2 linked regions of the Notamacropus eugenii genome follow. The protein of the gene in region 2 binds, or shares a complex with, the protein of the main gene of each other region. Links are inferred from orthologs where the notes say so. Each region holds a gene or a part of one and is shown on either strand. Other genes may lie near its edges.

The links.
Region 1: the proteins of SIKE1 (region 2) and SLMAP are in contact, whole or in part, in a crystal structure (PDB 6AKM), measured with the Homo sapiens proteins. The link is inferred for Notamacropus eugenii from reciprocal best matches to the Homo sapiens genes SIKE1 and SLMAP. Residues at the interface, in NP_079349.2 of Homo sapiens: Ile5, Ile8, Leu9, Ala12, Lys13, Leu16, Leu19, Arg20, His22, Asp23, Ala26, Glu27, Leu29, Val30, Ser33, Ala34, Leu36, His37, Val40, Met43, Arg44; in NP_001291349.1 of Homo sapiens: Leu168, Tyr171, Leu172, Glu174, Ala175, Arg178, Glu179, Met181, Leu182, Lys185, Thr188, Leu189, Leu192, Leu193, Ile195, Thr196, Ala199, Ser200, Thr202, Ser203.

Annotation. Positions count from the first base shown.
Region 1 is NC_092874.1:467,540,261-467,550,671, forward strand, and holds the start of SLMAP (sarcolemmal membrane-associated protein), read right to left. Parts: upstream 5,150-10,411; 5' UTR 4,756-5,149; coding exon 4,558-4,755; intron 1-4,557. UniProt on the Homo sapiens protein: Associates with the striatin-interacting phosphatase and kinase (STRIPAK) core complex, forming the extended (SIKE1:SLMAP)STRIPAK complex.
Region 2 is NC_092873.1:294,106,050-294,116,460, forward strand, and holds the start of SIKE1 (suppressor of IKBKE 1), read right to left. Parts: upstream 5,161-10,411; 5' UTR 4,975-5,160; coding exon 4,816-4,974; intron 4,701-4,815; coding exon 4,595-4,700; intron 3,929-4,594; coding exon 3,786-3,928; intron 2,969-3,785; coding exon 2,855-2,968; intron 1-2,854.

The sequences.
Region 1 (10,411 bases), on a different chromosome or scaffold from region 2:
CACAAGCCTGGAGTCATTCACAACTCCTGACTCTTCCTCACCCTCTCTGCCATTCAGTCTTCATGTCTATGTATAGTTATCACTATAGTGTCTCTGAGCGCTGGCCCCTTCTCTCCATTCACAGGCTCACTCCCTTAGCTCATCTCTCTACTGGACCCTTCCTTGGTCTGTTTTCAGTATCTCCTTGGTCTCATCCATACTCCAAAAATAACCAAAATAATCTTCCTAAAGCAGTCAGTCAGTCAATCAACAAGCACATATTAAGCACTCACTAAGGACATTCTAGCAGCAAACAGTTCCTGTCCTCAAGGAGCTTACATGGGATATCACAGGCAGTCATATCTAAGTATAGAATACTACAAAATGAGCAGAGGCTAGGTTTGGGAGGAAGGACAAGGGCAGAACCTGGGCTATGTCTTAAAGGAAGGGTGGCTTCTCCCAGGAGGAGAAGTCTGGACACTTTCACTGCCTTGGTCCACAAGCTTCCATGGTTTCCTGCTGCCCATTCCGGGCTGGCTCCTGCCAAATCTTTCCAAATGCTTTGCCACCAACGCTCTTCAGAGCGTACTGCAGGACAAACAGCTCCATCACCACTCCTCCAGGGGATGCCCCAAAGCTCCCATCACTTTATCCCCTTGCTTCCTTCCCAGCTCGGTTCAGGGACCTCTTTCTCCAGGAAGCCTCTCCTGATTCCTTCTCTCTTCTTTCTCCAATCACTGTGTATACATGTAACAGAACAAGGGAATTGTGGCAAGCACCTTCAGCACAGGAGCTGGTTTGTAATAAATGCGTTGACTCCCAAGGACTTTTATACACTTCTGGAGACCTTGTCACTAGTGGGCACTAAAGTGATAGAAGAGAGGGCCTGGATCCTCCCTGTCTGCTGGCTCCTCCCCACAGAGGGTCCCCACATCACCCAAGTCATCAGAGGCAGGCTGATCCTAATGACTGGACCCCAGGGCCAGCTTTCCATAGCCCCTTGGCCTCAGTCTGACACATCGAGTAGACAGAGAACACTGGGCCTGGAGAGACAAGCTTAGAAAGTGCCAGGGTTATCAGTTCTCTTAGCATATCCTTCATCTCATCTTTACTTTCTGTTCTATCAGGGCACAAAGAATCACAGCACATTGTGTGTAAATCTGACCTTAAAGGGATCACTTGGAGTCCACCAGAAGCTTGGAATTTAAAAGTGAGTCTCTACCAGTTGACAAATCAGTTAACACATTAATAGTAAAGCAGGAAATAACAGACAGTTGGATGTGGAGTCAAGACCTGAATTCAAATTCCACCTTAAACAGTAACCTACTGGGGGACTACCGGCAAAACACTTAACGCTCTAGGCTTCTGTTCCCTCATCTGATAAAGGAACTACACGGAAAGTCCTCAGATTTCCAGCCCTGGCCTCTCTCCTCACCTCCAAACTCAAATCTTACCAACTGGCTGTCTCCAAAAGTATGATTCACAGACAGCTTAAGCCAACAGGCCCCAGACTGACCTGGTGACCTTTCCACCAAAGCTCTCCTCTCTTCCTCACTTCCCTGTCACTGCTGAGGCTCCCATGGCATAGGCTCCACAAGCTCTCACTCTCTGGCCCCCCATATCCAGGGGTCAAGTCCTATTGCCTTTACCTTCCTAACATCCCTTGAACATGCCCGCTTCTCTCCTCTGACACTGCTCCATCCTGGCTCAGGCCCTCACTGTCTCACTCTTGGACAACTGGCCTCCCACACTCATCTGTCCCCACTCTAGTTCATCCTTCACTCAGGCTGTTAAAGTAGCCTTCTTGAAGTACAGGCCTGACCATGCCACCCCTCTCTATCCAGTCAATTCCAGGGGCTCTTCTCAGCTGAAGGATCAAATACAAAATGCTCCATTTGTTTGGCATTTAGAGCCCCCTCCTCCCTTGCCAGCTTTCCTACACCTCACTCCCCAACAGGTAGTCTGGGATCCAGTAACCATAAAAGCCTCCTGGCTGCTCCTCAAACAAGACCCTCCTTCCCTTGGCTCCAGGCATTCTCTCCAGCTGCTCCCCAGGCCTGGAAGGCTCTCCCTCCTCATCACCGCCTCCTTCATCCCTTCAAGTCCCTGCTAAATCCACCTTCTCCAAGAAGCCTCTGCGGGTCTCCGTTAATGCTAGGGATTTCCCACCAGTCACTGCTAATTATCTCCAATTTATCCTGTCTAGATCTTATCCATACCAAGTTGTCTCCAGCTTGTTTTTGCCATTAGACTGGGAGCTCCCTGAGAGCAGACACTGTCTTTGGCCTCTCTCTGAGTCATCAATGCTCAGCAAATCACAGGTGCATAGCAAATTCTTTCTGACTGCCCGACTGCTAAAACAAAACTCTGCAAAGCTTAAAAGCCTAATAAACGTGAACTAGAGACCATGGAAACTATGAAGTACAACTGTCTCATTTCATAAATGACCAAACTGAGGTCCAGGTTAGGTAAGTTGAGGGCCTGTCACAAGATCACACAGGTAAAGTAAAAGTAGAAGTTGAATGGTACAGTGCATAGAGAACTAGATCCAGAGTCAGAAAGCCCTGAGTTCAAATACAGTCTCACACCTTCTAGCCGTGTCAACCTGGGTAAGAAATTGCCTCAGTTTCCTCACCTGTAAAATGGAGGTAACAATAGGGCCTACCTCCATGGTTGTGAAAATAACATGACAGAACTATGTATTTATTATTTAAAAGTTTATGGAGCTGGAAGGGACCTTGGAGGCCAGCTAGTCCAATGTCTTAATTTACAGAGCAGGAAAGATGGGCCCAGTGTGTCAGGAGGCAGACTATCAAGTCAGGTCCCTCTGTTCTATTTCATTTGGAACAAAAATCTCCTCTAACAGAAGATGTTCTAGGTCCCAGAGATTTCCTTCCAACTCTTTCTCTCTGCAAAGTCCAGTATTAACCAAAGAAGCTGGACAGTTCCTTAGAGTTTGTTTCAATGAGATGACGCAAAGTCCTCTGAACTTTAGGAACAAGTACCTAATTAAATTTGCTATTTCCCCTTTAAGGGGTTCAGTGTAAAGTAAATGAAATTTAGAACCTGTCCTAAACTGGTGGCTGCTGGAGGGAGGGGGGTAAGGAGTCAGGGAAAAGGGAGAAATAGAGTAACATAAGATTTCTCACAATGGACATTTCTCCCAAGAACATCAGCACTAACTAACATGGTCATTTAGCTGGTCTCTCTATCCGAGGTAACTCACAATTCCAAAGGACTACTAGCTAAAATAGCCTGTACTGCAATGTGGTTCAATCTGATTGGTCATGGATTGATTAATTCAGTCAGTGACTACGCTATTAACAAACCATCTTCTTTTAGGTAGTGAGGAAAGAGAAGATGTTAGGAATGATCCAGTCGTTTCATTTAAAAAGGTAACTGTGGTTGCAGAGCTTTCAAGAACACGCTTTGTACAAATTTTTAACATGTCATCTCAATTCCCCTGCCAAAAACCGCCCACTTCTGTTAAGACTCTTAGTCATATCCAACTAAGCCACTGGGATATTATCTCTGCACAGTCCTAGAAAGGATTCCTTCATGTTACCAATCACTATTTTTCCCCCAAAATTTAAAGTGGTGTTTAAAATGTCTACCCGAGGTGTCTCAGAGTGTAGGAAGTCCATCCACTCATCTGTACGAGGGCAAATCAAACACCTAATGAGAAGTGAAGGGGAAAGAGCTGACTGGCGATGGGAGGTTCTCTACCTGTCCTACCACTGGGTTCCGGGAAGCCTGGTTGGCACACAAGCTGAACACTTGCAGAGAGGACATAAGAGAAGTATCTTCCACAGGTAAGGAAGGCAGTGTACTGGCACCGGACAAGAACATTAAAACGTCTTTCTCTGCTCTCACCCAAGTCCCGGGCACAGATGTCATTTGCTTTGAAAAGCCCACTGCCTCTGCATCACCATAATTTCAGAATCAAGGAATTCCAGAGAATTCCAAAGAACTTTCTTCCAAGTGACTGCAAAGCGTCCTAATGGCTGGTCCTAGATTCTTACATCCTCTTTGGAAAGCTTGAACCCTCTACAGTCAAGTCGGGGAGACTCGGGGTCAACTTTAAGAACCAGGCGGGACGCAGCCAGGAGGCAATCTCGGCCTCGGGTGACCTGTCATTCCTGGGCAGGCTGTGCCCGGGCCAGGGGGCCAGCCTGGGTCAGGAGAAGGTGGGGCCCTGCCCGAGGGCTGTCCAGCCACTCTGCCCCTGCCCAAAGGCTCTCCAGCCCGGCTGCCCCTGCCCGTGCCCCTGCCCAAAGGCTCTCCAGCCCCGCTGCCCCTGCCCGTGCCCCTGCCCAAAGGCTCTCCAGCCCGGCTGCCCCTGCCCGTGCCCCTGCCCAAAGGCTCTCCAGCCCCGCTGCCCCTGCCCGTGCCCCTGCCCAAAGGCTCTCCAGCCCCGCTGCCCCTGCCCGTGCCCCTGCCCAAGGGCTGTCCAGCCCCGCTGCCCAAGGCTGCCCCTGCCCAAGGGCTGTCCAGCCCCGCTGCCCCCTGCCCGCTGACCACTTCCCGCTGCCCACGCCCACGGCCGCCAGCACCCCGCGGCACGGCGCGGCCCCTCACCTTGCCCGTCTTGTGGTCGAACCAGACCAGTGCGTGGTTCCGGGACAGCACCTTGCAGTCGAAGGTGGCGTTGTTCTGGGCCGGCCGGCACCGGGCCACCGAGCGCCCGATCTTGATGGGCTCGTCCAGGTAGACATGGCGCTCCTGGAACGGGTGCGAGTTGGGGCGGCAAGTGAAGATGGCCAGGGCCGAAGGCATTGAGGACAGCTCGGGGAGCCCGCTCCAGCCAGGCCCGGGTCCGAAGAGGAGCTCGTCCTGAGCCACGCTGCCGAGCAGGCCGCGCCACGTGTGTCCTCCCACCCCAGCAGGCGGATCAGAGCGCAGACAGCATCGGCCCCGCACGCGCGTGGGGGTCGCCGCGGGTCACCACCGTGGGAGCGGTCCGGGCATGGCCGGGGGGCGCGTGGGGGGCGCCCCTCACTCCATCCCCCTGGGGCTCAGCACCCAGGGGCTCCAACCACATTGGAGGGGGCTTCCTGCATCCACCCGCGGCCGCTCCGGGAGTCACTCGGGGGGCGCCCGAGGGCACGCGAGCGGGGACCCGGTCTCGCGTGGGCACTGACGGCCCTGCCGCGCGGAGCGGGGTCCCCCCTTCCCGTGGGCCGGCCGAATCGTCCGTGGGCCGCCTCGGTTCCTCGCCCCAGCAGGGATCGCGCTAGCGGGGGCCGCGCATCGCGCGCCGGGGGCGGCCCCGGGCTGGGCTCCCGCGTGTCCGCGGCGGCGCGTGGGGGGTCGGTCGCCGCTCCTCTGGGCTCTCTCGCCGCCTCGAGCGCTGGCCTGCGGGGCCCTCTCCGGCCGCCCGCCCCGGCTCACGCGGCGCCGCCGCCAAACTTTCCGACCTGCGGGCGACAAGAACCGTGACCGGCCGCCGTCAGGCGCCGCCCGCCCTCCCGGCCCGTCAGGCGCCCCCCGCCGCCCCGCCGGCCCTCCCCGCCCCACCCGCGGCCCCGACCCCGGCCCCGGCCCCGGCCCCGGCCGCCATAGTGACTCTGACGGAGACCTACCAGCGGGACGGACGGACGGCCGGCCGCGGGAGCGCGCACCCTGCACTAGCCCGCCCGCCCGGCCCCTCTCCCGCGCCGTACTCCCAGGCCCACGTGACCGACGCCGCGGGGGCCCTATTGGGTGTGGGCAAAAAGAGGCCGGGGCGGGGCGCGGGGCGGGCTGCTCCGGGAGCCGTCCTGGCGGGGGTGGGGCTCTCCGAGAGGCGCGGGCCGCCATGTTGCTTAAGGGCAGCGAAGGCTGGGGAGTGGGGAGTGGCCTACGGGCCGGGGCCTAGCGTGGCGGCGGGCGCCTCGGGCCTCGTCCTCATGAAGAGACGTTGTCTGACAGTGGGGAGGTGAACCTGCGCTCGGGGGACTCGCCGCGATGCTTCTCTGGGACGAGAAGCCTCCCCCCCAGGGGCAAAGCGCATTGGCAGACATCTTAGCTGTGGGCAAGCACCTCTCGCGATGCTTGAGGAAGTCGTGCAAAGCGAAGTCGAAATCCGAGGCGGGGGAGGCGCCAATACCAGTCCCAAAGGACAGATGCTTACTAGCCCCGAAGCTCGGCCCTAGTGACTGAGCATGCGCATTTCGGCCTTATCGTCTCGTTACTCCCCTGCCCTTGACCCCTCCCCCTCCCTCCTTCCCAGCTCTGACGTAAGCCCCTGTGACTGGGCGCGCTGTGGCTTAACACCTTCCCCTCCTCCTCCTGCCGTCCCTCGCCTCCATACCACCTAAGACCGTGAGTTCAAATCCAGCTGCTGCCCTTTAGTAATTTTATGCCCTTCCTCCAATTTATCATATACATTTATGTATAACGAATATAAATATATATGGATAAATATATGGTAAAATGGAACGAGGTCATAAAATGTATACGTGTATATATATTAGATCTATACATTAGATATAAGATATAATAGAAATATACTATTTATATGTCACAATAGATATATAATATGATATATATCTATCTGCACACATATATACAAATTCTATCCATCTACACATATGTAGGAGTACACATGTAGGAATACACATATGTAGGAGTATGGAGTATGTGCCCTCCTACATATGTGTAGATCGGTAAGCTCCCTTAGGGCAACACTTACATTTGCCTCTCTGAGTCTCCCGGACCTAGCACCTGGCCTAGAACACAGTAAGTACTCCATACATGTTATTACTATTGCTCGGGCAGGTCATTTTCCCTCTCTGGGCCTCAGCTACCTCCTCTGAAAGGAGTTAAGTGGACTGGATGAGTTCCAAGGTCCCTTCCAACTGTAAACCAATGGCTATTAGTAGAGAGAGACTTAGAGATTAAGAAAGCCAACCTCCTGTCTGCTCTTCCTTACCCTTGTCCCCATTCCCATTTTACAAACAGGAAAAGAAGGTCCAGAGACTATAGATTTTATAAAATACACTGTAATAAAAACTATAAAAGTTTATTATCATTGAAGTCCCAACAGGTGGACTCCCAGGTGAACTCCATAAGAAGTCTAAAAAATCATAAAGAAAATCACCTCTAAGTGAGAAGGAAAAAGGTTTGGGAGAGAGGCAGGGGCTGGAAAAGGTGAGTTTTCTCCTTCCCTACTATTTTTGTTTCTGTGATCTCAGGATACAAGCTTTGGATCTGGAAGCAGAAGTTGTTGTTCAGTGGTGTCCAACTCTGTAAATCCCCTGTGGGATTTTCTTGGCAAAGATCCTGGAGTACTTCACCATTTCCTTCTCCAGCTCATTTTACAGATGAGAAAGCTGAGGCAAACAGGGTTATGTCGGTTGCCCAGGGTCACACAGCTAGGAAGTGTCTGAGGCTGGACCCAGGAAGATGAGTCTTTCTGACTCCAGGCCAGGTAATCTATTGGCCACTACCACTTAGCTGACCTCATTTTCCTGATGAGGAAACTGAGGCCCCAAAGATGAAAGGACTTACCCAAGGTCATGCAGATGGTAAGAGTTCAAAGAGGGATTTGATGTAATGGAATACTATTGTGCTATAAGAAATGATGAACAGGAAGACTTCAGAGAGGTCTGGAAAGACTTATATGATCTGATGCTGAGTGAAAGGAGCAGAACCAGGAGAACTTTGTACACAGCAACAACCGCAGTGTGTACGGGAAATTTTTCAGGTAGACTTAGTACTTCATTGCAGTGCAAGGACTTAAAAAATTCCCAATGAACTCTTGAAGCAAAATGCCTTCCACATCCAGAGAAAGAACTGTAGAATTGGATCGCAGAAAGAAGCAGATCATTTTCTTTAGTATTATGTTTTGTTTTGTTTTATGGTTTCTCCCATTCATTTGAATTCTTCTATTTAACATGATTAAGGTGAAAATGTATTTAATAGGAATGTATGTGTAGAACCTATATAAGATTAAAGGCAGTGTCAGGGAGGGAGTGAGAAGGGAGGAGAAAAAAATCTAGGACACTGAAAATAAATAAAATAATTTAATTAAAAAAAAAAAAGATGGATTTGAATCCAGGCCCTCTGGGGTATTTCCAATGTAGGCCCCCACAACCTTCTTTTTTGTACTTGTTAACACTCTATTATCTTCCTTCTGGCTAGAAAGGACTTTCCCTTCTAGTAAGACACATCTTCTCATATGGTTGGGTCTTCAAATGCCCAGAAACTGCTGGAAGATGTAGTTCTCAACAGGAGAAGGAAACCAGAGCTACTAGTTACAACCACAGTTGCATTGCCAACACCACATAATTATACATTTAAATACCTTATACTAAGGGGCAGCTGGGTGGTACAGTGGATACAACACCAGAGTCAGGAAGACCTGAGTTCAAATATGGCCTCAGATACTTACTGTGTGACCTTGGGCAAGTCACAACTCTGTGGGTCTCAGTTTCCTCATCTGTAAAGTGAGCTGAAGAAGGAAATGGCTAACATCATTCCAAAATCTTTGACCAAGAAAACCCAAATGGTATCACAAAGAATCAGACCTGACTGAAACAACTTTGTTTGGTTTGAGGTTTTTTGTTTTTGGGGGCTTTTTTTGTTTGTTTTTTTTAATAAAGAGAATAATTGCAAAATTGTTTGGAAGTTGCTTTCTATTCAACAAATCCCTTAAAGCCTCACTTCAATCCTGACTCCCCAAAAGGCTGGACCTGCTGACACAATCCAAGGAGGCCATTTAAGGGATTCCACATTTATATGTATGCACCAAAAAAATGACTTAGAAAAGTCCATAATCTTTTGAAGGTCTTTCACCACACCTTAATCAAACAAACCTCAATAAGCATGACAGGCAGAGAATCTCAGACCTACTGTTTTAGGCAAAGTGATGAAGTAGAAGGAGTTTTGGCCTAGGATTCAGAAGGCCTGGCTGCCATTGTGAGTTCCTCATTACACTAAGAGCTCCTGGAAAACAAGGACTCTTTTTGCCTTTCTCTGTATCCAAAGTACCTAGCACAGTGCCTAGCACATAGTAGGTGCTTAATGAATGCTTGTTGACTTGGCACTTAGCAGTGTCTGCAATCCTGCCCAAGTAAATCCACATCTCTGAGAATCAGTTTCCTTCTCTGTAAAATGGAGATGAGACAATGTATATCTCACAAGGGTTCTGGGTAGAACACCGTGTACATTGTAAGGCACTACATACATTACATCAAGGTCTCTGGACATTCCTTTGCCTAACTGTAGATAAATGCACAATTGTAATTGTCCAAAAACAACTCCACACAATTTGAGAAACAGTGAGAGTTATAAAGTAGCTTTCTTTTCCGTGGCAGGATGTCAGTTTTACCACTTCTTGAACCCAAATCACGGCACTTTCAGTCTTGGAAGAACAGGCATTTGCAACATTCTTATTAAAAAAAAAAAAAACCACCAGTGTGAAAGACCAGCAAATAATTCTAAGGAATTCCAAGGCACAACAAAGAATAGTTCTCTAAATCTGATTAATGATCAAACGCTGAACTTTCTCTCCCTCCACGTATGCATAGGATATAACAAATTGTGTAATTACCATTTGAGGGCAATCTAGCTGGTACAAAATATCATTAAGCCAAAAATGGAGGATTAGCTCAGGATCAGGTAGAAATCCCAATTGAAAGCATTTGCTACTTTTAAAAAGAATACCTCTATTGTCTTTATTAAGACCCAAGCGATCGTAAGCCTTCTTTCCTCATTAAGAGCTTGTTTCAGTCCAGGGTGGTTTGCAGTATGTGGAAATACCCTGTCATTGACCAGGTGTCCTGGGTGGAGTAGCAAGACATTCCATAGCCTATACTCACCTATTTTTGGCCCTCTGGTTTTTCAGGTAATAAAAAGTGCCCCAGGAAGAAACACTGACAAGGAGAACTCACAAAGCACCTTTTCGGAGAATCGTTGATTATGAAAACTAGGAAAGAGCTTAGAAAGCCCCAGACTCAACAGCCTCCAATTGCCAAAGAGGAAGGCTAGGAGTGGACCTATTCCACATGACAGAAAAAACAACTCCTGGGGCCGAGGTGAATGCAGAACTCTGGTTCTCAGCCTGAGTTTTCCACTGCAGCATGGCACGATGCTTTCAGAAGCCCAGACGGAGAAGCTATATCTATATCTATAATCCCACAAATTTTTGTGATTTGCCCCCAATTTTTTATTCTAATACAGGCTCCTAAAACTGAAAATCTTTTTGAAGATGCCATTTTGTTCTTTAGAAATCTGAAAGCTGAGTTGTGTTGTTTTCCTGCATCAGAAAAGTGATGTGTAACTTAATAGATTTAGAACTGCAAGGGCCTCAAATGCCATCTAGATGGGAGCTAGTTAAACTGTATTTATAAACACAGTGAACATAGCTAAAGTTTAACAGATTAAGAAGTGCTGAAGGTGTCGAGATTGAAAAAAGTTTAAGAAGTCCCAAATCAAGATCAAGCTACAC
Region 2 (10,411 bases):
GGGTGGGAAAAGCTCCTAGAACTGCTGCTGCTGCTACTGTGTGCTGTGCTATCATGGTCCATCCTCACCGCAGTGTCACAGATCTCTGTCTGACTACTAAGTAGTTTGGGGCGGAAAAATGCCTCACTCTGACCTTTTGTTGGTTACACCTCTCCAGAATTTGATTTTATGCATTATTTTCAAGTTGTTGGGAGAGTTCTGCTGGAATGCTCTCTCTATTCCACCATCTTGGCTGTGCTTCTGTAAATAGCTTTCTCAAGTTTAGTCCAGAAAGAGAAAAATATGTAAGATGACAGCTAGCGCAGGGATGGTAGAACTGAGTGAAGTTTTTTTTTTAAGAATACAAAAGATGTGGACATGTTTGTAGGCAGCAGGGCCAGTAAATAGGGAAAGGTTAAAGATTAGAAAGTGGAGCTATCAAGGGAAGCAGTCTACTGAGGAAGATAAGATGGCATCAAGGGTATATATAAAGGGATTTGTCCTGGCAAGAAGGACCACCTCTTCATTCAAGAAATATGAAAAAGGAAGAAGACAATTGAGTGATGTGAGGAGGCAAGAAGTAGCTCTGAGTGGGTGGCTTTAGTTTTTTTGGAGAAATATAAGACAATGTTCTCAGCATAGAAAAGGGGAAATGGGTACTATGGGACGTCTCAGGAAGGATGAAAACATTTGGAAAAGCCATGGTGGTGAGTGACAGAATGAATCAATTAGGGAGGTGCAAAAGGATGGTCCTGCTGCAGAGGAGACAGTTGAGAATCTATAACATATGTTTGTAGTGGACTAAGCATAATTTTGTGATTCTTTTCTAGCTCCATTCAGCAGCACATGAACAAAAGTGAAGAAGGTGGTGGAAGCAATACACAAAGTTGTAGTTTAGCAGGGTATGGTCAGTGATGGGAATTGGGGAGGGAGAAGAAAGGTGTGGCAAGGATTTGAATGTAGAGTTGAACAGATTTACCAAGTGGTTGAAAATGGAAATTCCAAAGAAAGGACAGATAAACAGGACCCAATTGAAAGTATGGTATGGAATTTGTTACATGCTATTTGAAAAAGCAAATGGTATGAAATTGGGTCATCCTTTTTTTCTGTTCTGCCACATATAATAAATTTTTTCAAATGGGGTGAGTTTAAGTTCAGAATTTTAAAAAAAATTTAAAGAACAAAAACAAAATTTTGAATGTTGCCAAATTACAATTTATCCTAGCCCCAAAGCATAAGTTCTTTGCCAAGTTGGGAGACAGTGGATGTAGAACACTATATATAAAATGTCAAACAGTTTTTAATAAGTTGGTTAGTTTTGCTAAACATTTTTTCTCCTTAAAAAAATTGTCATGAAGATTGCTTGAGTGAGGGAGGAAAAGGAATATGTTGAGAAATAAGGACATCAATAAAATGTATTTTTAAAAGAAAAATAAAAAGGCACTATTAAATTATTTTTAATTTTCCTATTTCTAGGGTAAGTTATTTTCATGTTTAGTTAAGATGACATATTTGAAACTTATTTTTTACCTGCAAAAAATAATTCCCTTGAAAGGAACTATTTTATACTATATTACTATATTTTGCTCCATAAAAATAGTGTTTATCCTGAAGTACCAGTGTTATTAGCTTTCACTAGCTAAAATTATCAATTCCTCAAAATTAAAAACAGTACATTTTATTTCTTCTACACTCCTCTATCCTTGTAATCAGGATTTACTGAAAACCTTCCATGTGTCCAACACTGAACATTCTGTAGGATATAGAAAAAGAAAATGCTTATTGAATGAATATAACAAAAGGTCTCAGGGAAACAAAAAGTAAAGTAACTGTACAGCTCCGACCTGCAGGGAGGAAGGGGAATGTTTTAATCTTAAAATCATTCAATTTAAGTCATTTCAACAAAACATTTATTAAGATGCCTAATATACAGAAGATACACATGACACAAAGATAAAAGGAAACAATTCTTGCTGTTGAGGGACATTCCACTAGAGATCCAAAATTAGTACAAGAAAATACAAAGCAGTTTCAAGAGAGAATGCCAATAACTAATGTGATTAGAAAAAGCCTCGTGAAGGTAGCAGTGTGAGCTCTGATAGAAGCTAGGGAATAAGATGAAGATGAGGAAGGAAGGTATTCCAGATAGGAGGGGATCACTTGCACTTGCAAGAGTTGGAATATCAATACAGTGAACAACTAAAGAAAGTATGGTAAGAGAAATCCTATGAAATAAAACTGGAATGGTAGGTGGGTGCTAGTTGTAGCATTCTTTAAATGTGTTTTATAGAGGAAACAGGGGGCCATCAGAGAGTTTTGAGTAAGGGGTATGTGGAAAACGGATTAGAGGATGTATCTGCAGGTAGGGGTATCAGTTAGAGGGCAACTGTAATAGTCTATCAGAGCATATAAAATCCTGAACGAGGGTAGAACAGGAAGGAGAAAAAAAGAGAACAGATGAAAGAGATGTTACTACAGTGTTTGGCCTTAGGAAGCACTCAGTGAATCCTTGTTAACTGACAGGGAGGAGACAGTGAAGAGGAGGGGGAAACAGCAAGACTTGACAAGTCACTGGATTTGTTCGTGGAAGTCAAGTCATTTTCTCCAAAACTGAGACTACAGCCCATAAGGATGGTAGTGCCCTCAAAAGAAACCAAAGTAGTATGAAGGAGGAATAGATTTTTGGGGAAAGATAGTTGGACATGTTGAGTTTAAAATGCCTACGGGACACCAGGCAGTTAGCAGTATAGGACCAGAGTTCAAGAGAGAGATTAGGGTTGCATACACAGATTTGAGAGTCATCTGCTGAGACATCATCATTAAGGTGCTATGACTGAAAGATATACTTTTCTGATAGCAAAAACAATATTCTTACCTCCAGTTGGGCTAGTTTTTCCTGAATCTTGCAAAACTGGTCGTCATCCACCTGAACAGCTTTCCTCATCACTTCTCCCATTTCACAGATTCTATCAATCTGACTTTCAATTTCCTGTTAAGATATTAAGTATATTAATTCTGCACTGCCTGTAGGAAGAATAACAAACAAAACAAAAAGTAAAATGCTTATGAGAAGACTGAGTAACATCATCCCAGTTAATCAATATCTCACCTATCTAATCAATGGCTGGACCTTTCCATATCTACATGCCCATATCTTTCTAACCCTTCTTGTCTTGAAGGGGTCTGTCTCTGTCTCACACTATACTGTAATCTATAGCAAATGCTCTTCAAGTTCCTATGTATTGGCTTTCTCCAGCTAAATGACAAATTCCTCAAGTACTTGAATAGAAGCTGTATTTCTTCCACTCTCTCCTCCCTGAGTCATTAAGGATTCACTGAGTACTTCCCACCTGGTCAAATACTGTATACTCTGTAAGAGCTTAAAAAAAAAAAAAAAAAAGCTTTTTGAATGACTACAGTGAAAGGTCTTACAAACACTTGATATCATTCAGGGTAAAGTAAATACACAGCTCTGACCTCCATAAACAGTCCATAAGAATGCAATTATTTCCGCTATTGATTCTTCTCTTTCATATTTACCACTCTTTTATGGTATAAAATCATAGCAAACACAGGCCTCAGAGCAAGGATATTATTAAAACATTAACAATAAAGTGATAAACATAAAAAGAAAGATAACTTTTCTTGAGGAAAAAAAAATCCTACTATCCCTGCCAGTTCTTATCCTTTATATTTCTCTTTCTGAGTTAAACTCCTTAAGAAAGCTCTCTATAGGGCAAGAAATTTATAAAAACAATTTCTAGATTCAATTCAATTTAACAGATATTTATTGTGAAACTTCTTACTAAAGAATGAGACTGGTGGGCTTTCAAGACAGGTTCAGCATCCACTGCTTTTTTAGCAATCATTAATTGTAGCATCTGTTTTCTGTACTTGCTCATGATGAGTTCCAAAGCATCCTGGTGTTCCTCCAAGGAAATCCACAACTCTATCAAAGAATAAGTAAAATAAATTGGCAGTGATATCTGAGACAGTGAAGAATCTCCACCCCATCGGAGACTGAAAAACTTAACAGCATATTTACCCCGACTAATGGTGCCTATAATTTTAGCTAATGTTCCATACATTACTAATCAAAGCACTTTAGATTCCTCTTCAACAAAAATTTATGATACTCTATGGTATATCTATGTTTATATACACATGTATGTATGTATATACACCTATAGATACACATACACACATTTAAATTTAAGTAAAGTTGAATAACATTTTAAGGATTTCACCAAGAAGTAGGAAGTCACTGCTTTAGAATAGTGAACTGAATTCATCTGAAAGTACTGTCCTTCGCAGAAACAACTCATATTTGTTCAATAAGATCATATTCACATTCGTAATAACGGGTTAAAAAACACCCTTGAACAGTACTTACTAAATTAAGACTTCTCCATTACCTACAATACTGAAAAGGATCATCTATTGACTGTTCCTATTTTCTACGAAGACTGTTATTTAGCAACAGACTTGCTTATTAAACTCACCAGTTGGGAGGTGCTGCACTGTACTCCCGTTCGTGGCCTGCGTGGGGAATAAGCTGGCCTAAACTGTGGGTTCGAAAGCGTGGCATTTGGGGGAGAAAGGCTGCTGCGCTCACCTCGGTTCTCCTGCTGCAGGTCTCGGATCTGCGTGTTCTCCTGGGACAGCAGGATGTGAGGCTTGTATCTGGACGCGTCCTTCAGGTCCGCGGCATCCTCCTGGTACTGGTAAACAGACAGACCAACCCCCGCCCAAGTCAGGCTAGAGCGGAAGGAGTCCGGCCCATCCGGGCAGGGAGGACCCCCCACCTCCCGCCCGGCCCCCGGGCCTAGGGCTGACCTGGTCCGGCAGCGCGGCGCCCGCCTCCCTCATCGCAGCCACCCGCCGGTGCAGGGCGGCCGACTGATCCACCAGGGACTCGGCGGCCGCGTCGTGCTCCCGCAGCCGCTCCAGAAGCGTCTTGGCGTCCGTCAGGATCTTCTCGATCGTGCAGCTCATAGCGGAGAACCGGGCCAAGGCGGCCCCGCAGCCACGCCACTCACCGATGCCTACGCCGCCGCCGGTTCCGGGTCTTCCGCCCACTGCCGCTGACTTCACTTCCGTAAGCGAAAAACACCCGCGCCGCTTCCGACAGCCTCGGGAGAGTCTTCCCTTGGCTCCGCAGACCGAGGGCCTCGGCCTTGCGCTTGCGCACGGCGCTCCTGCCCGGGCGCTGACCTGCGTCTCCTAAGAACCGCCCCTCGCTGTCAGGAGCGGGGGCGGGGCCAACTACGTAGGGCGGGGGGCGGGCTTTCTGTCCGGCGCCCGGGACTAGTCACTTAACCCTCTCAGCTTCAGTTTCTTCATTGCGAAAAGGATATCATGCTTTCACATTCTTTCTTGTGATTGTTAAAGGCCTTACTGGGTGTAAAGCATAGTAGTAGTGTCCCTATTCAGCCTTTGCTACTTTAGCCAGATGTGTATTTCTCTTTCTATATATATATATATATATATATATATATATACATCCATATGTGTATATATGTGTGTGTGTGTATATGTGTACGTGTATATGTGTGTATATGTGTGTGTGTGTGTATACATATATATGTATACATTCTTGCCCAAATTACTTTTATTTTGCTACAACACTGACCTCACGGGGTCATTATGGGAATCAAATGGGATAGTATATGTAAAGCCCTTTGCAAACCATAGAGGTTTACTGCTTACTGTTATTATTGTAGAGCATGAGTTCATAATTTGAGATCCATGGAACTTGTCTGTGAATAGATTTTGAAGTTGGATGGGAAAAAAATTACCTTTTTATTTCAATATAAATGGTTTTCTTTGTAATTATATGTATTTTGTTTTTTGCATTTGAAAACATTCAGAGAAAAGGCTCCATAGGTTTCATCAGACTGACAAAGGGGTCCATGACCCAAAGTAGGTTGGAGACCGCTGTTATAATTTTAGAAACGCTGCTAGCCAATGGGTCCATGCATTACAAATCAAAGCATCTTAGATTCCTGTTATCCAAAAATGTATGATACTATACAGCATATCTGTGTGTATACACACATTTTGAGAATTTCTACGAATTTGGATCCCTAGTTCTGTTTCTGCTATTTGCAGGACTGCATTTGTGACTTAATTACATAACAGGTTATTTTAGTCTCTGTTCTGTGGAAAGTATTCCCACAAAGGGTTTTAATGTAGATCTTTTTTTGTTTGCATATTATTGATTGCTAAATGTAATAGTCCGATCATGATGGTGAATAAATGTCTTTAAAAAATTAGGAACAGATATGGTTTTATCAATGAAAAGGACACTAAAGGAGATTCCTTATCATTTGCCATGTTCCTGTACCCTAAGAACCTACCATGCTTTTCCATTTGACTTGTAGCTGAAACTTCCCATATGTACTGTCCTTTCCCCCTTTAGAATGTGAGCTCCTTTTCTATTTTTATCCCCAAAGCTTAGGAAAGAACTTTGAACATAGTAAGTGCTTTTTCATTTTACATAAATGCTTTTTCATTTATTCATTCTAAAAACCTGTGACTCAAAGGGTCCTCTCATTAGTGAAAATTGATTACACAGTGGTTCATGCCTGCTTGAGGGGAGGGATTGGTGGGAGTCTGAGAAGGGAAAGATCCTGGTCTTCTGGCTTCCAGATTTGTTCTAAACTCCCTTCAGATCCCTGAAGCGAGTGAAAGACTCTGGAAAGCAACCAACATATTGCAGAGCTGGCACTCTCTATTATGTTCCTATCCTCAACTTAATACACTAGGGATTTCAGGGAATTTCCCTTAGGGTGAGATCTGAGACTCTTTAAGTTGAGCTGAGATTTTTCGCTCCCATTGGGAGAGTTCATTTACTCTGTATTGTCTGGTATGTTTTCTCCTGTGAATATTTTTTTCTGATTTCTCTTTTGTTATAGACTCAGGTAAATGGGTTTATTTGCTCCTTGTGGAACTGATATTTGTTGGCAAGGGAGTCAAATCTTGGATACAGAGCTTTGGAACACTCGTCTATTAAGAGAACAATCAGGAGCTTGAACCTAAAATATATCCCCTTTAGACTAACAATATTTAGAGGAACAGAAAAATATGGTTCTATCCCAGTGTTCTTTCTTTGAGGAGACCAGAGTGGCGGGTCTCAGGCCCTAATCTCCTGTTTCTTCTCCCTGAGGAAGATTCAAAGTCTTCCTTAGAGAAGAGCTTAAGGAGTGGGGCAGGGGAGATTAGAGATACCTATTCTTGATTATCTATGAACTACATCTTTATGGACCCATGTAGGCACATATAATCTTCTTGGGCAAAACAACAAACAAGGCACCACACACATGCTGACAAGTCAATTATTTATTCATTCAATGGAAGGGGTGTGTCTGAGTCTCTCTATAACCCCTAACATTGATCAGGAATTTCTTTGTACCTCCTAAAGGAGGAAGAAAGAATGAACACTTCTTTTATTTCTTTTACTAACTATGAATGCAACCACTATGTCACCAGGTATAGGTGGAATGATCTCTTTGTGTCCAGGAGGCCGGACAAAATTAAGCTGAAGGTCAAATTTAGTCCATAAAACAGAGATATCCCACTCATGCTCTAGAGTCTTTGGTGATTGCTTGAAAGACCATGTTTTGCTGGTGATGAGTTGTGATGAAAAGAGGGACAGAAAGTCCAAAGGAATCATAGAGAACAGAAGGAAAGAAGAATTGGAGAAAAAAAATAAGTAGATAAGGTAAAAAATAATGTTCAAGTGTCACCTTTGAGAGTCATTTCTTGAGTGTTCCTCTGTCCATGCAGCCCAACAGCTCCCCCTTCCTGCCTCTCCATCATTCTGGAAGAAGGGAGAGAGAGACAGATAAATAGAGACAGAAAGAGAAAGACAATGTGCATTTAGAAACTAGAAAATCAACAATAAACACAAAAAAAGCAAAAAAAGAGTAAATATTGAAAGAGAAAGTGGAAAACAAAGATGATAAACCTAAAAATAGCACCATTGAAAATATACAATCAACAAACCTTTAGCTAAGGTTATTTTCCTAGTTATCAAAAAAAAGAGGGAGGGAAATAAAATGATCAGAATAAAAAAATCAAGTAAAGTGAAATTATAACAGAGCAGAATTTAAAAAAAATATAATCAGAATCACTTCACACAATTATATACTATCAAAGACAAGAGACTTTAAATGAAATAGATTATCTATTAAAACATAAAATACTTGAATTAACTGAACTTCAAATAGAAATCTTAAACAACCCAATCGTAGGAAATGAAATTGAAAAAGGCATAAAGGAACTATCAAACTTTCTCTGTCTGTCTGTCTGTCTGTCTGTCTTTCCCCACCTATCTATTTTCTATAAAGAAACACTTTGGCCAAGGTAAATTTCATCAAACAAAAAAAGAAAGAATGTCCATGATACATAAATTATTCTCAAAAATTAAGCAAACTTATCAAATTCTGATCCTAAACCATAAAGGATAAAGCAAAGAAAGAGAGCTATAGACTAATATGACTAATGAATATTTATTAAAACTAAAGTAAATTCCAGCCAAAAGACGATAGCAACATAGACAAAAAACTATTTACTATGAAACAATTGACTTTATGCCAGGGATGCTAAGATGGTTCAAAATTAGAAAAAGAAAAAATATTAATTATATTGAAAAACAAAGAAAGGCAGCATGATTCAGACTCAAGAAGACCTTCAAAATCGGGAAAACCTGAGTGGAAGTCTTGTCTCTGACATGTGATGGGACATGCAACCTTGGGCAAGACACTTAACCTTTAGCTCTCTTATACTCTAGGTTGCAGACCAGATGATGATCTGAATTCAGAGAGGGATTTTCCTCATGAGGTCTTCCATATACTAATGAAATTGCATGTGTGGTCCAAAATCTGTTCCCATAAAAGCTATATCATTATAGAAATAGGTGTGGACAAAACCTTTAACAAAGTAAAACATTCATTTAAATTTAAAAAATACATTTAAAGTATTGGTATAGAAGGGCCACTTTTTATTATGAAAAAAAGTATGTATGTTAATCTGAAAGTCAGCCTTTTTTTGCCATGGGGAAGCACTAGAAACTGGCCTAATAAATACAGAACTCAAATGAACTTATCTTCTATCCCTACTCTTATTTGACATCATCCTAGAAAAGTTTGGGGTTCTAGAAGAGTCAAGAAGAGAAGAAGTTAACTCTGTCTGCACACATCAATCAATCAACAAACATTTTTAAAAGTACTAGATTCTGTGCTGACTACCTAGATGGTGCAATGGATAGAGTGTGGAGACTGGAGTCAGGAAAACTCATCTTCTTAAGTTCAAATCTGGCCTCAGACACTTACTAGCTGTGTGCCACTGGGCAAGTCACTTAACCCCGTTTGCCTCAGTTTCCTCATCTGTAAAGGAAATGGCAAATCACTTCAGTATCTCTGCCAAGAAAACTCCAAATGGGGTCATGAAGAGTTGGGCATGGCTAAAAAAAAAATGACTGAACAAAAATTGGACTAAGTTACTGCTTTCAATTTACATTCTATCAGGAGTGTCAAAAGTGAATTTTGGGGGAACTAACTGGTCTTTCCGGAGCTGACATAATTAACTCCAATCTGTAATCACCATTTTACCATGTATTGCCTTAGTGTGTAATATTGCTAGACTTCCTTGAATGTCTCCTTTAATTGAATGTCAGACTTTAGTTACTATAAAAGGATTTTTGTTTGTTTGCTTTTGCAAAGAAGGACTCCAATAGCCTTGATTTGTCTGGCAGGTGATGTAGGGTTCCCTTTGATCTGTTGTGAATAGCTATGCTAACAAGGGCACATTCCTCCTTTTCTAATAAGTGATTAACGTCTTCTTTTGTTATAACAAATACTTCTTCTTCTTCTATGTTCTGAACAACCCTGTTCTGTAATAAGCAGAACATTGTCTCACGTATTACATGAATGATAGACTGGTATAAGTATCGTTAGTTGAGTTGTAACAAACATACGTGTTCATCATCTATTGCTGGAGTGAGTCTTTCTCGGAGTAAATAAATTGCAGTTTTTCCTATGTCTGTTTCCTTTGCTGTTTTATTGCCAGGGGCTAGTTAAGATCCTAAAAGAATTCATGCAACAGAACAAACAAGTATACATATGTGTATATAGAATGGATCCAAAATAACATAAGGTAGTTTAGGGACTGAGGGTACTAACAGTTGAGAGGATCAGGAAAGGTTTTACATAGAACAGGGCTTCTTAAACTTTTCTACTTCTCACCAAGAAATTTTTACATGATTCTGGGTATGTAAATATATAAAATAAGTATACAAATCAAACATTTACTGATAATGTCATAAAGAAAGTTATTTTTAAAACAATTCTTTGGTACATATATAATTTTACTATTTATTAAAGATGAAAGCAAATTTGCATACTAATGAGATGGATATCCTTTTTTATTT